Drosophila melanogaster: one gene and its partner. The protein of the gene in region 1 purifies or fractionates together with the protein of each later gene. This does not show direct contact. Each region holds a gene or a part of one and is shown in the gene's direction. Other genes may lie near its edges.

Evidence for each region.
Region 2: the proteins of qkr58E-2 (region 1) and CG5641 purify together in Drosophila melanogaster (affinity purification with mass spectrometry, with the first as the bait; one large-scale study listed by BioGRID). This does not show direct contact.

The regions. Positions count from the first base shown.
Region 1 is NT_033778.4:22,413,934-22,419,748, forward strand, and holds qkr58E-2 (quaking related 58E-2), read left to right. Parts: upstream 1-1,875; 5' UTR 1,876-2,132; coding exon 2,133-2,433; exon of another isoform or gene 2,434-2,494; coding exon 2,495-3,098; intron 3,099-3,162; coding exon 3,163-3,263; intron 3,264-3,318; coding exon 3,319-3,563; 3' UTR 3,564-3,703; intron 3,704-3,759; exon of another isoform or gene 3,760-3,769; 3' UTR 3,770-5,068; downstream 5,069-5,815. Other genes in the region: qkr58E-1 (quaking related 58E-1), read right to left, coding at 168-349, 475-576, 637-1,141, 1,207-1,462; mRpS29 (mitochondrial ribosomal protein S29), read right to left, coding at 5,188-5,815.
Region 2 is NT_033777.3:12,427,295-12,431,508, reverse strand, and holds CG5641 (uncharacterized protein), read left to right. Parts: upstream 1-2,226; 5' UTR 2,227-2,307; coding exon 2,308-2,472; intron 2,473-2,534; coding exon 2,535-2,663; intron 2,664-2,724; coding exon 2,725-3,621; 3' UTR 3,622-3,672; downstream 3,673-4,214. Other genes in the region: Prosalpha2 (proteasome alpha2 subunit), read right to left, coding at 28-68; CG5245 (uncharacterized protein), read right to left, coding at 334-1,839; NANS (N-acetylneuraminic acid synthase), read right to left, coding at 3,673-4,214. UniProt on the Drosophila melanogaster protein: May regulate transcription of undefined genes.

The DNA.
Region 1 (5,815 bases):
TAGATTTTGTTTTGTTTTCGAGTTTTTTTTTTGTTTTGATTTGCGCGAGTTAAGTTTAAACGTTTACATTGCTATTTGTCGTATTCTTTTTCTTTTCTTCATTTTGTTTATTTTTACATGCCTGCTGAGGGGAAGAGATTATTGGTCTAGAAATCTAGGTATCTTACCTGGATAGGCCGCCGCGTAGGAAGAGGAGGACGAGTGGGGGTGATACTCACGCCGATAGTCGCGCTCGTAGGAGCTACTGTCATACTGGGCGTGGTGGGTCGAGTGCTTTGATGTTTGGGGCGGCGGTGTGGCATAGCGATCATATTCTCCATGGTGGTCATATAGCTCGTGGTCCCGTGATCTGTTGAAAAAGTAAGGGATTAAAGGAGGGTTTTCTAACAATGGTTGATAACACAGATGCACGCTATTGAAAGCATAAGAATTTAACTTCTAAAGGCATCATTAACGCGATTGAACTTAGCTAACCTGTGCGTCTTTACGATCCCATAGTTGGGATCGTCCATCACATATCGAGCCTTCTCCAGAATCGAATAGACTTTGGGCTTTGAAGAAGCAGGGGGCGGGGTGCTGTGACGAAAGGAATTCCTTAGTAACCAATTAAAATTCAACGAAAATTGACAAGCCTACCGGGAACTGTAGGCGCCATGATCGCCATAGGATTTGGAATAGTGGTGAGACTTCTTGTACATGCGCTCCTTGCCATCCATCTCGCGTAGTTGCTCCAACCGAATGTCGTCGTTGGCGTCGGGTATCATAAACTTGCGGATCTCGCCTAGCGCATAGCTGATCCTGTGATAGGCCTCCGCTGGAGGGGCCACCGTGGATATCTCCACGTGCAAATCGCGGCTGAGATGGGCGTACTTTGGATTTCCGGAGCTGCGAAGCTCCTCCTCCTTACCGTGGTCGCGCATCGAGTTGCGCCCCATAACCACCATTTTGCACATAGTCTCTTCCTGCAGCTGCCGCAGTGTGTTGCCCTTGGGCCCCAGGATCTTGCCAACGAAATTGAACTTGGGGTACTCCTTGATGGGGAACAAGACTTTCTGGGCCACGCGGATGGGCTTTTCGCTGTACACGTTGGCATATATCTCGGGCTTTGGTATGCGTCCGCTGACCAAGATCTTCTCCACCTCTGCGGGGCCATGAAAAATTGCAATTAGATCCACTATAGCTTACATGTCGCAGCGCCTAACTCACCGTCGTCAAGTAAGCGCTTGGTGATGATGTGCTTCTTCTCGAGCGTCTTCTTTTCCAGCAGGCACTCCTGCAGATACGCGTTGGTCTTCTCATTCAGCTGGGGCGTGTCCCGCAGGGCGGCGTGGCTGGTGGTGTGTCCGCCGCCATCCGCCTCAGGGGTCTCTGGAGCACCGGTAGCCGCTGGCTCCTCGTCGCGTCGCTTCCGCTTGTAGTCGGCGGCGTCCTCGTTGTAGTCTCTGTCGTAGTCGCGCGGCATTGCGTTTTGTAGGATTTCTGGCCTGGAGGATTCGTGAATTTTAAAACTCCTACTCTTGAATACAAAATTCTACTATTGCAGAATTAGTTGGCTGAAAAAATATGTATGTGGTAGGACATCGATAGGTAAATCGGCATCACCGATTCGATAGCGTATTATCGGTTACTGCCGATAACAACCCGCCATCATGTGCATTAGTAGTTTATGACTTATCAATTTTATTAAAAACTTTCCCATAACAAAGAGAGCATTTAAATTATATTTGTAATTTAAAAATCACTAAGTGCATATTATAAATTATTGCCATGCACCTGACGACGCATCTATGTTAATATATAGCGTTAGATAGTGTCTGCAAGCCGATAACAACTATGCGCCCTTAACAGCACCGTCGATTGGCAGCGAACAGCACGCTGCAGAAGCACGAGAGACAGCCCGAGAGACCGGAGTTGCCGGACCGAGCCGCTGACATAGTAAATGTCCGAATAAAATACACACTTGGAAAAAGAGAGAAAAATTAGGGCCATTGGGAAGGCTGAAGTGTGCTAAGTTAGCAATCATACCGAATCGACAGCAAAAGCGATCGCCCGCAATCTGCGCACGGAAAATCCGAGACTCGGCGACTTAGCAGGACGATAGAGCGACAGCGATCCCGAAGGCAGGACGACAAATGGCGGAGAACGGACTGCGCGTGCCAGGGTCATCCGCGGTGGCCTCTGCGGTGGCTTCCACTGCGACGGGAGTCGGCGGTGGATCAGCAGCGGGAACTGCGGGGGCCGGGACAGGAGTGGTGCCCACCGGCGTCAGCGGCGGGACGAGCAACGGGGAGCATGAGAACGAACACAACGCCAACGCAGACGGCGAGAAGGCCCAGCCGGCGCCGGCGGTCCAGAAGTACATGCAGGAGCTCATGACGGAGCGATCGCGCATGGAAAACCACTTCCCCCTGGCGGTGAAGCTAATTGACGAAGGTAAATTGATTTGTCAGGGGCACTTCATGGTAATTACTTTGATTTCCCTCTGTTTTTGCAGCTCTGGAGCGTGTGCAGCTAAACGGACGCATTCCCACGAGAGACCAGTACGCCGATGTCTACCAGCAGCGCACCATCAAGCTGTCCCAAAAAGTGCACGTGCCCATCAAGGACAAGAAGTTCAACTATGTGGGCAAGCTACTGGGGCCCAAGGGCAACTCACTGCGTCGCCTGCAGGAGGAGACGCAGTGCAAGATCGTCATACTTGGTCGCTTCTCAATGAAGGATCGCGCACGTGAGGAGGAGCTGCGCAACTCCGCGGACGCGAAGTACGCCCACCTGAATCTTCCTCTGCACGTCGAGGTGTCCACCATTGCTCCGCCCGCCGAGGCGTACGCTCGGGTGGCGTATGCCCTGGCCGAGATTCGGCGGTACCTCACGCCGGACAAGCACGATGACATCCGCCAAGAGCAGTACCGCGAACTCATGGAGGATCCGGAGGCGGCCAAGAAGCTGACGCTTCGCCAGCTGCAACAGCAGTCGAATGCGGCAGCTAGTGGTGCAGGAGGAGGAGGCGGTGGTGGAGGCGGAAACGGAAATGGCGGCGCAGCTGGATCCGGCAGCAATAATGGCAATGGGAACCAGCGCTCCGGCGGCAACTACAGGTGGGTTGCAGTTCAATGTCCTCTACGAGCCTCGAGTCTAGCTAAACTCCCATGTTTCTTACAGACAAAAGTTTCAGCAACAATCACACTATCGCCACAACGAGGAGACTGTCTATTTTCGCTCACACAACAATGCGTACCACCAGCCAAAACCCTATGTGCCAGGTAAGTCTGGGCTCTCCTGGTCCATAGACCATAGATTCTATGTTCGCTTTTGCAGCCGCCCAACGGGGCAATGCCATGCACACCACCTTGCCACCGCAAGCAATTGTGCGAGCCTCACCGCCCGGAATGGTCGTCAGTGCGGCCAGCTTCAATGGCCGAAATGCCGGACTGGGTAATGCCGGCGGTGGCGGAATCATGGCCAATAGCATCGTGGCCACCACTGGCGGTGGCATCGGTGGCGCTGTGCCGCCTAACATGCGTTACCGTCCCGCTGCCCCCTACCAGTTTGTCAAGAAATAATACAGATGGGAGGATGCACCGCCCGCTGCCGTTCGCTGTTTGTTCAACTATTCCTCACCATCATTGATGCCTCATCCGGAAGTATTCACGCCCATCTGTCATACCCATCCAAACACCCACAACCACACACAGCTCCAAAGGTAGATGTAGTAACTATGAGAACATTGGAAACTTGTCATGCATTGATTTCATCAAGATTTCGGCAGGGTGGAAACCAAAACGAAACGAATGAGTAAATCTATGTTTAAGAAAACTAGCCTAAGTAGACAAATGCTCCGAGGAACAGACGAACACCTCAGCCACCCAACCAAAACCAAAACTAACCGACCAGACAAACACCCACCACCCCACACGCACGCAACCTCTTCTCGAGGATTGGGTTCGAAGGATCACGAGGGTCTGCGATCTAAGACTTTGGAATCCGTGTGTTGGGCCCTGCGAGCATTTGGAAGAGAAGAATTGAAGAAGAAGAACGAGGAGGAGGTGGAGAACGCCTCGATGTTGGATCGGGCCGAATCGAATGGACGCATTCAAGGTTGGTCCCAGTCGAGCCAAATGTCCTTGTTTTGTTTTGTCGCATATTATTAACATTTTAATTTTACCACTGACGCGTGCGAAGATTTCATCACTTTGTAATTTATATAAATGAATATATATATCTCCTTATGCTTACTATCATACGTATCCTTCTCGCAGTCGCTTTAACTCTATTGCTTTTCCAACTCTGCGTTTAAGTTTATCCCATTTTTTGTTGTAATGCGTTTTGTATTATGTTTACGTTTAGAAGAGGAGGCTTCTTATTTTTATTTGTTACGTCGCCAGGACAGAAAAAGCAACTGCAAACGATCATGAATAATATATATAACAAGTATATACAAGCGGTATGATTTATAACACATAGTGCATATGCAACACCACACGATCATACGCGCGTACGCATATTCAAAACATCAGCATATTCACCTAAAGCCGTAAAGTTTAAACCAAATGAACATTAGAAACGCAAACGAGAATCTAAAACACAGATCGGAGCAGGAGACCGATTTCGCCTACGATAATGCAAATGCAACGGACATAGCAAACCACATACGATCAGAGAAAATATGCAAACACATACATACATACATAATTGTTATTGTTGTTAAAAGCAACTAAAATTGTAATAGAAATTATGCAAATATACATACGAATATGACGACAAATGTTAATTGCAGCCTAGTTATTATTTTGTTCATTCACACCCACATCGGAACGGAACCTAAGATATAGTCTTAAATAAAGAGAGAGTGCAGCCAGCAGATCCGCACGGACTAGGCCTAGATCTAGACCTTGTTGACGATGCTTCTACAGCCACAAGACACACGAAACTTGAACACAGCCCTATTTGTATTGATTTTGAACATTGAACACACTGCATGTAAACCCCATACACATATATGTAAACGTACGAAAGTACTGTGCATCATTATGTATTGCTGATTATCGTTAAATAAATTTCCAATTTGAATTTCCCAGACTCATTATTACAAATTGAGTCGTGAGCGTACAGCAAGCAAACCGCATCGTTGTGGTAAATAACAAATCATTTAACTTTATTGGCTAACAAATACAGGACACTCGCTCTCTACAAGGCCTTCACGAGCTGCATCAGCGAGTAGGGGTTCTTGTTGCTCATGAACTTGAGCTGCTCCTCGAATCCCTGCGGCGTCTTGTTGATCCAGTGTCGGTCGAGATAGTAGCTGATGTAGCTGTGGAATTCCTTGTCCGTGTAGTTTTCCACATGGATGGGCACAAACGGATCTAGATGCTCGAAGCCCTCCTTGCCGAGCAGATAGCGCGGCATATAGGAGTCCATGTGGCCCTCAGTCATTGCGATCTTGTCCACGGACAGGATGCATACTCCGTTTGTCCAGTCGTAGTTGGTGATGTCGAGGAAGGGCTGTGTGAGCGTGACCCGATCCGGAGTCACGAGCTGCTTGTTGTCGGAGAAAATGCGAGTAACCGGATGGAAGAAGGCATTGAAGCCATCAATGGCCACCATTACTTTGCACTGTCCAGCGGTGGAGAGTTGTTTCAGTTCCGCAATTAGCGCCGCCGTGGTCTCCGAGGCGTACTTGATGCGTGCTATCCCATGTTCCACAAGCTCAATTAACGAGGAACCCGCCGGCGTGCTCTCGCGCTTGCTCCACACGTACTCCTTGCTGGTTTTCAGCTGCAACCGCTGGAGCAGCGGTCCATTCTGAGTCTTGAAG
Region 2 (4,214 bases), on another chromosome or scaffold:
CCGCTCCGGCTATAGCGATGCTCTCACCTGAACGTGGTCAACGAAAAGCTGTATCGTTCGGTAGCCATATTTCCTGGGCCGCAAATGCAGTGATTTGATGTGTAAAATGAAAAAGCCGACTTATTTCGCACAGAAACAAAAATGACACAGCAATTGGGCGGCAGTGTGACCGAATGCTGAATGCCAAATATGGTACAGGTCGATCAGGGGGACTAAACAAATGGGCACACTACCGATTTCTAAACTTAAAAAAATATTTAAACTCATTTATTTATTTTCGCCTACTTTACTTCTTATTACATTATTTCTAAGTTAATTCTAAACTAATTGGTTTTAATCCGATTTAGTGCCGCATAGGGTTCGCCGCAGGTGTCGCCCAAGACTGGACTTTTGTGTGTATCGGGTTGAGCAGTGTGAACACTTGTAGGGTTTTTCCCCCGTATGCGTTCGCAAGTGTTCCTGGTGTTCTGCGCTTCTCGCAAACAATTTTGAGCAGTGCGAACACTTGAAGGGCAATTCTCCCGTGTGCGTTCGCAAATGCATGTGAAGAGTCGAGCTAGTTGTATAGGACTTCGAGCAGTGGGGACACTCGAATTGGTTTTTTCCAGTATGCTCTTGCAGGTGCACCAGCAGTTGCGAGCTTAGTTTAAACTCCTTCGAGCAGTAGGAACACTTGGGTACCTTTTCTCCAATATGATCAAGCATATGCACCCGAAGATGCGTACGACATTTGAAGTCCTTGAAACAGTGGGTACACTTAAAGGGCCGCTCTCCCGTATGCACTTGCTGATGCTCCACAAGATGTGACTTCTTGAAGAAAGATTTCGAGCATTCGGCGCACTTGTACTGTCGCTCTCTTGTATGCAAACGCACGTGGACTCGATAAAGTGACCTCATGGCAAAGGTGGCTGAGCACTGGGAACACTTCAGGGGCTCTTTTCCAGCGTGCTCAAGTAAGTGTAGTTGAAGTCTCGAATTCCTTGCAAAGGTCTCTGAGCAATGGGGACACTTGAACGGGTCTTCGCCCGCGTGCACTCGCAAATGAATTTGCAAACTATCATTCTGCAGAAAAGTCTTCGGGCACTGGGTACACTTAAAGGATCGTTCGGCGTGCGTCAGCAAGTGCTTTTGTAGAATTGATCTTAGCTTAAAACTCTTTGAGCAGTGGGAACACTTAAAGGGCCGTGCCTCCTGATGCGTTCGCAAGTGTTCCTGGAGATGTGAATTGTTTTTAAATGCCTTTTCGCAATGGGTACACTCAAAGGGTCGTTCTTCACTATGCGTACGTAAGTGTACCTGAAGATGAGATTTTCGCGCGAACGACGTCGAGCACTGGGTACACTTAAAGGGGCGCTCTCCTGTGTGCTCATGCAGATGTTGTTTAAGCGATGAATTCTGGGTAAAGGTTTTTGAGCAGTGGGAACACTTATGAGGTCGCTTTTCGTGTTTGAGCAAGTGTCGCTTGTAATGCGTCCTGCGTCCAAAGCTCTTGGAGCAGTGGGAACACTCGAACGGACGTTCTTCTGCGTGAAGTCGCAAGTGTGATTCGAGGTTTTCCTTTCTTGTAAACGTCTTTTGGCATTGGGTACACTTAAACGTATCTGTTTGCTTTCGCAAGGGGCGCTTCTTTGCTATTTTGGATTTACACGTCTTCAGCTTCGACGGGACGCCTTTAACTGGCTCCAAATCTTTGCCATAACTACAGAAGTTCTCAATCTTTATTTCGCTTTCAAGCTCTTCGAAGTCGCTGTTAGAAATGAAGATTAATTCTTCTTCGAAAGTGTCTTCTTGAGGTGGTTCGTCCTTCACGGGGCGTTGATCTACGTTCGCCAGATCCATAGTTCTGAAAACTATAAACATTAGGATTCATCTCTAGTGCGATTTTCAACTACTTACGAATAACTTCATGCGCTTTTAATCCGATTTTAGCACCGGAATTTTGTACAACAAAAGGGTAAGACCATCAACATAAAAATCAGCACTTTGCTTGTAAACAAAGCGTTTTCCTGGAACTGATAGAAACCTTGTTGCACTAGCTACAACTACAAAATTATGCAGATTAAAAACACCAGTCTCCGTATTTTAATTCAATCAATTTATGCATTCTAATGTAGTAAAATGTTTAAATGTTCAAAATGTTTGCCCTCTAAAAATATTTTATGCGGTATACTTTGAAAACGCGCTTAGCCCATCTTTGATGTCGTTTCCTTACCGGTCCAGCTTCGGTCACACTGTTTACCTATCTGTTAAAAAAAACAGAACGCTCCGGCGTTGCGAAAATTATTAAAAATTCATCCCCACAGGAATATGGTTCGCGGAGCTCTCCGAGGTGGCCGCCCCATGCGCGGCGGCATACGTCCGCCGTTCAAAAAGACATTCGTGCCGCGCCACCCCTTCGATCTGACCCTCGCGGAGGTCTTCTTTCCCAAAGTTCCATCCGCCGGCGCCGTTGACGATTCTGCTTTGACTGCGGTAAATCAATAAATTACTTGCGTATCCAAGGTGTCTGCAATGGGAAAACAATTGCATTTCAGGCGCTGCTGAAGCGTAACCAGGACCTGAGTCCCACTCCCAGCGAGCAGACGGCTATTGGCAATCTAGTGACCAAGGTGCAGGCTGTTCTCGACAATCTGGTGGTTGCACCCGGGGATCTGACAACTTGTGTGAGTACATTACACAACTCCTTGTGATTTGCATGTTTAAACTGTTCTGATTATTCCACAGCAACTGGAGGAAGTGCGTCAGGTTGGCTCCTTCAAGAAGGGCACCATACTGACGGGCAACAATGTAGCCGATGTGGTGGTTATCCTCAAAACCCTGCCCACCAAGGAGGCCGTCGATGCGCTGGCCAAAAAAGTGGAGGCCGACCTGAAGGCCAGCATGAAGACTGAAGTTCTGACCAAGGGCGATCAGCACACCGTACAGATCCATGAGCGGGGCTTCGACATCGCCAACGTGCATGCCAAGGTGCGCATTCTGATCGCCACCTTGCCGCAGAATCTTCGCAAGCTGGAGCCTGAGATCCATTTGGATCACAAACTGATGCAGAGCCATCTGGCTGCCATTCGGCACACGCGCTGGTTTGAGGAAAATGCCCACCACTCCTCGATAAAGGTGCTCATTCGCATTCTCAAGGATCTCACTAGGCGTTTCGACGCTTTTTCGCCGCTGTCGGCCTGGATGCTGGACCTGATCGCCCATTTGGCCATCATGAACAACCCGTCGCGACAGGCACTGCCCATCAACCTGGCCTTCCGTCGCGTCTTTCAGCTACTCTCCGCCGGGCTCTTCCTGCCGGGCTCGGCCGGCATCACGGATCCCACCGAGCCGGGACACATCCGTGTGCACACTGCCATGACATTGGAGCAGCAGGATGTGTGCTGCTACACATCGCAGACACTACTGCGCGTGCTGGCCCACGGCGGATACAAACACATTTTGGGACTGGAGGGCAACACCAGCGTTGTGCGCGAAATGTCCGTCTGGAACGGCGTGTGCATTTCCCCGCTGACCGCTGTCTACGAGAAGCCAACGGACAAGAAGGAGGGCGACCTCGAGGAGGACATCGACATGATCGAGAATGAGAACGAAGAAGAGGGCAGCGACGATGGCGCCGAGTAATACAGACCAAGCTATTCATTTACAAGTGTATTTAAATTCCCAACCCATGATTCAATTGATTATACTATTCCCAAGTATGGGTTCATCCTCACCAATATTGTCTGCCAATTCCTTGCCTACCAAGTCCAAGAAATCCTCCGCTGTCAGGCCGCTGGGTTCACTGACTTTAATGGCCATATCTGCCAATTGCAACCTGTAACCCTTATTGAGATTCCTAGCTGCCACAATAGATTTGCCCAGTTTATTTCGGCAGGGCAGCTCGCACGGCAAAATGGTTTTAGACTCAACGTGCTGAAGAGCTGCCTCTAGTTCCTCATCTCCATTTAACTTTTTAACTATTTCTTGTGGAGGCATGGGAACTGAAGAGAGTTTGAAGTTGGTGATGGCTGTAGTCAGAGCTTTTAATTCTTGCGGCTCTAGGGAGCAGCGATGATCGGAGCCCTTCTGACTCTTGTCCAGCGTAAAGTGGCGCTCCACTATGCGTGCTCCCAGCAAGACGGCGGCCTGGCTAATGATCACTCCCAGCTCATGACCCGAGTACCCAATTGCCACATTGGGAAAGCGTGTCCTTAAGACGGATATCAACTGCAAGC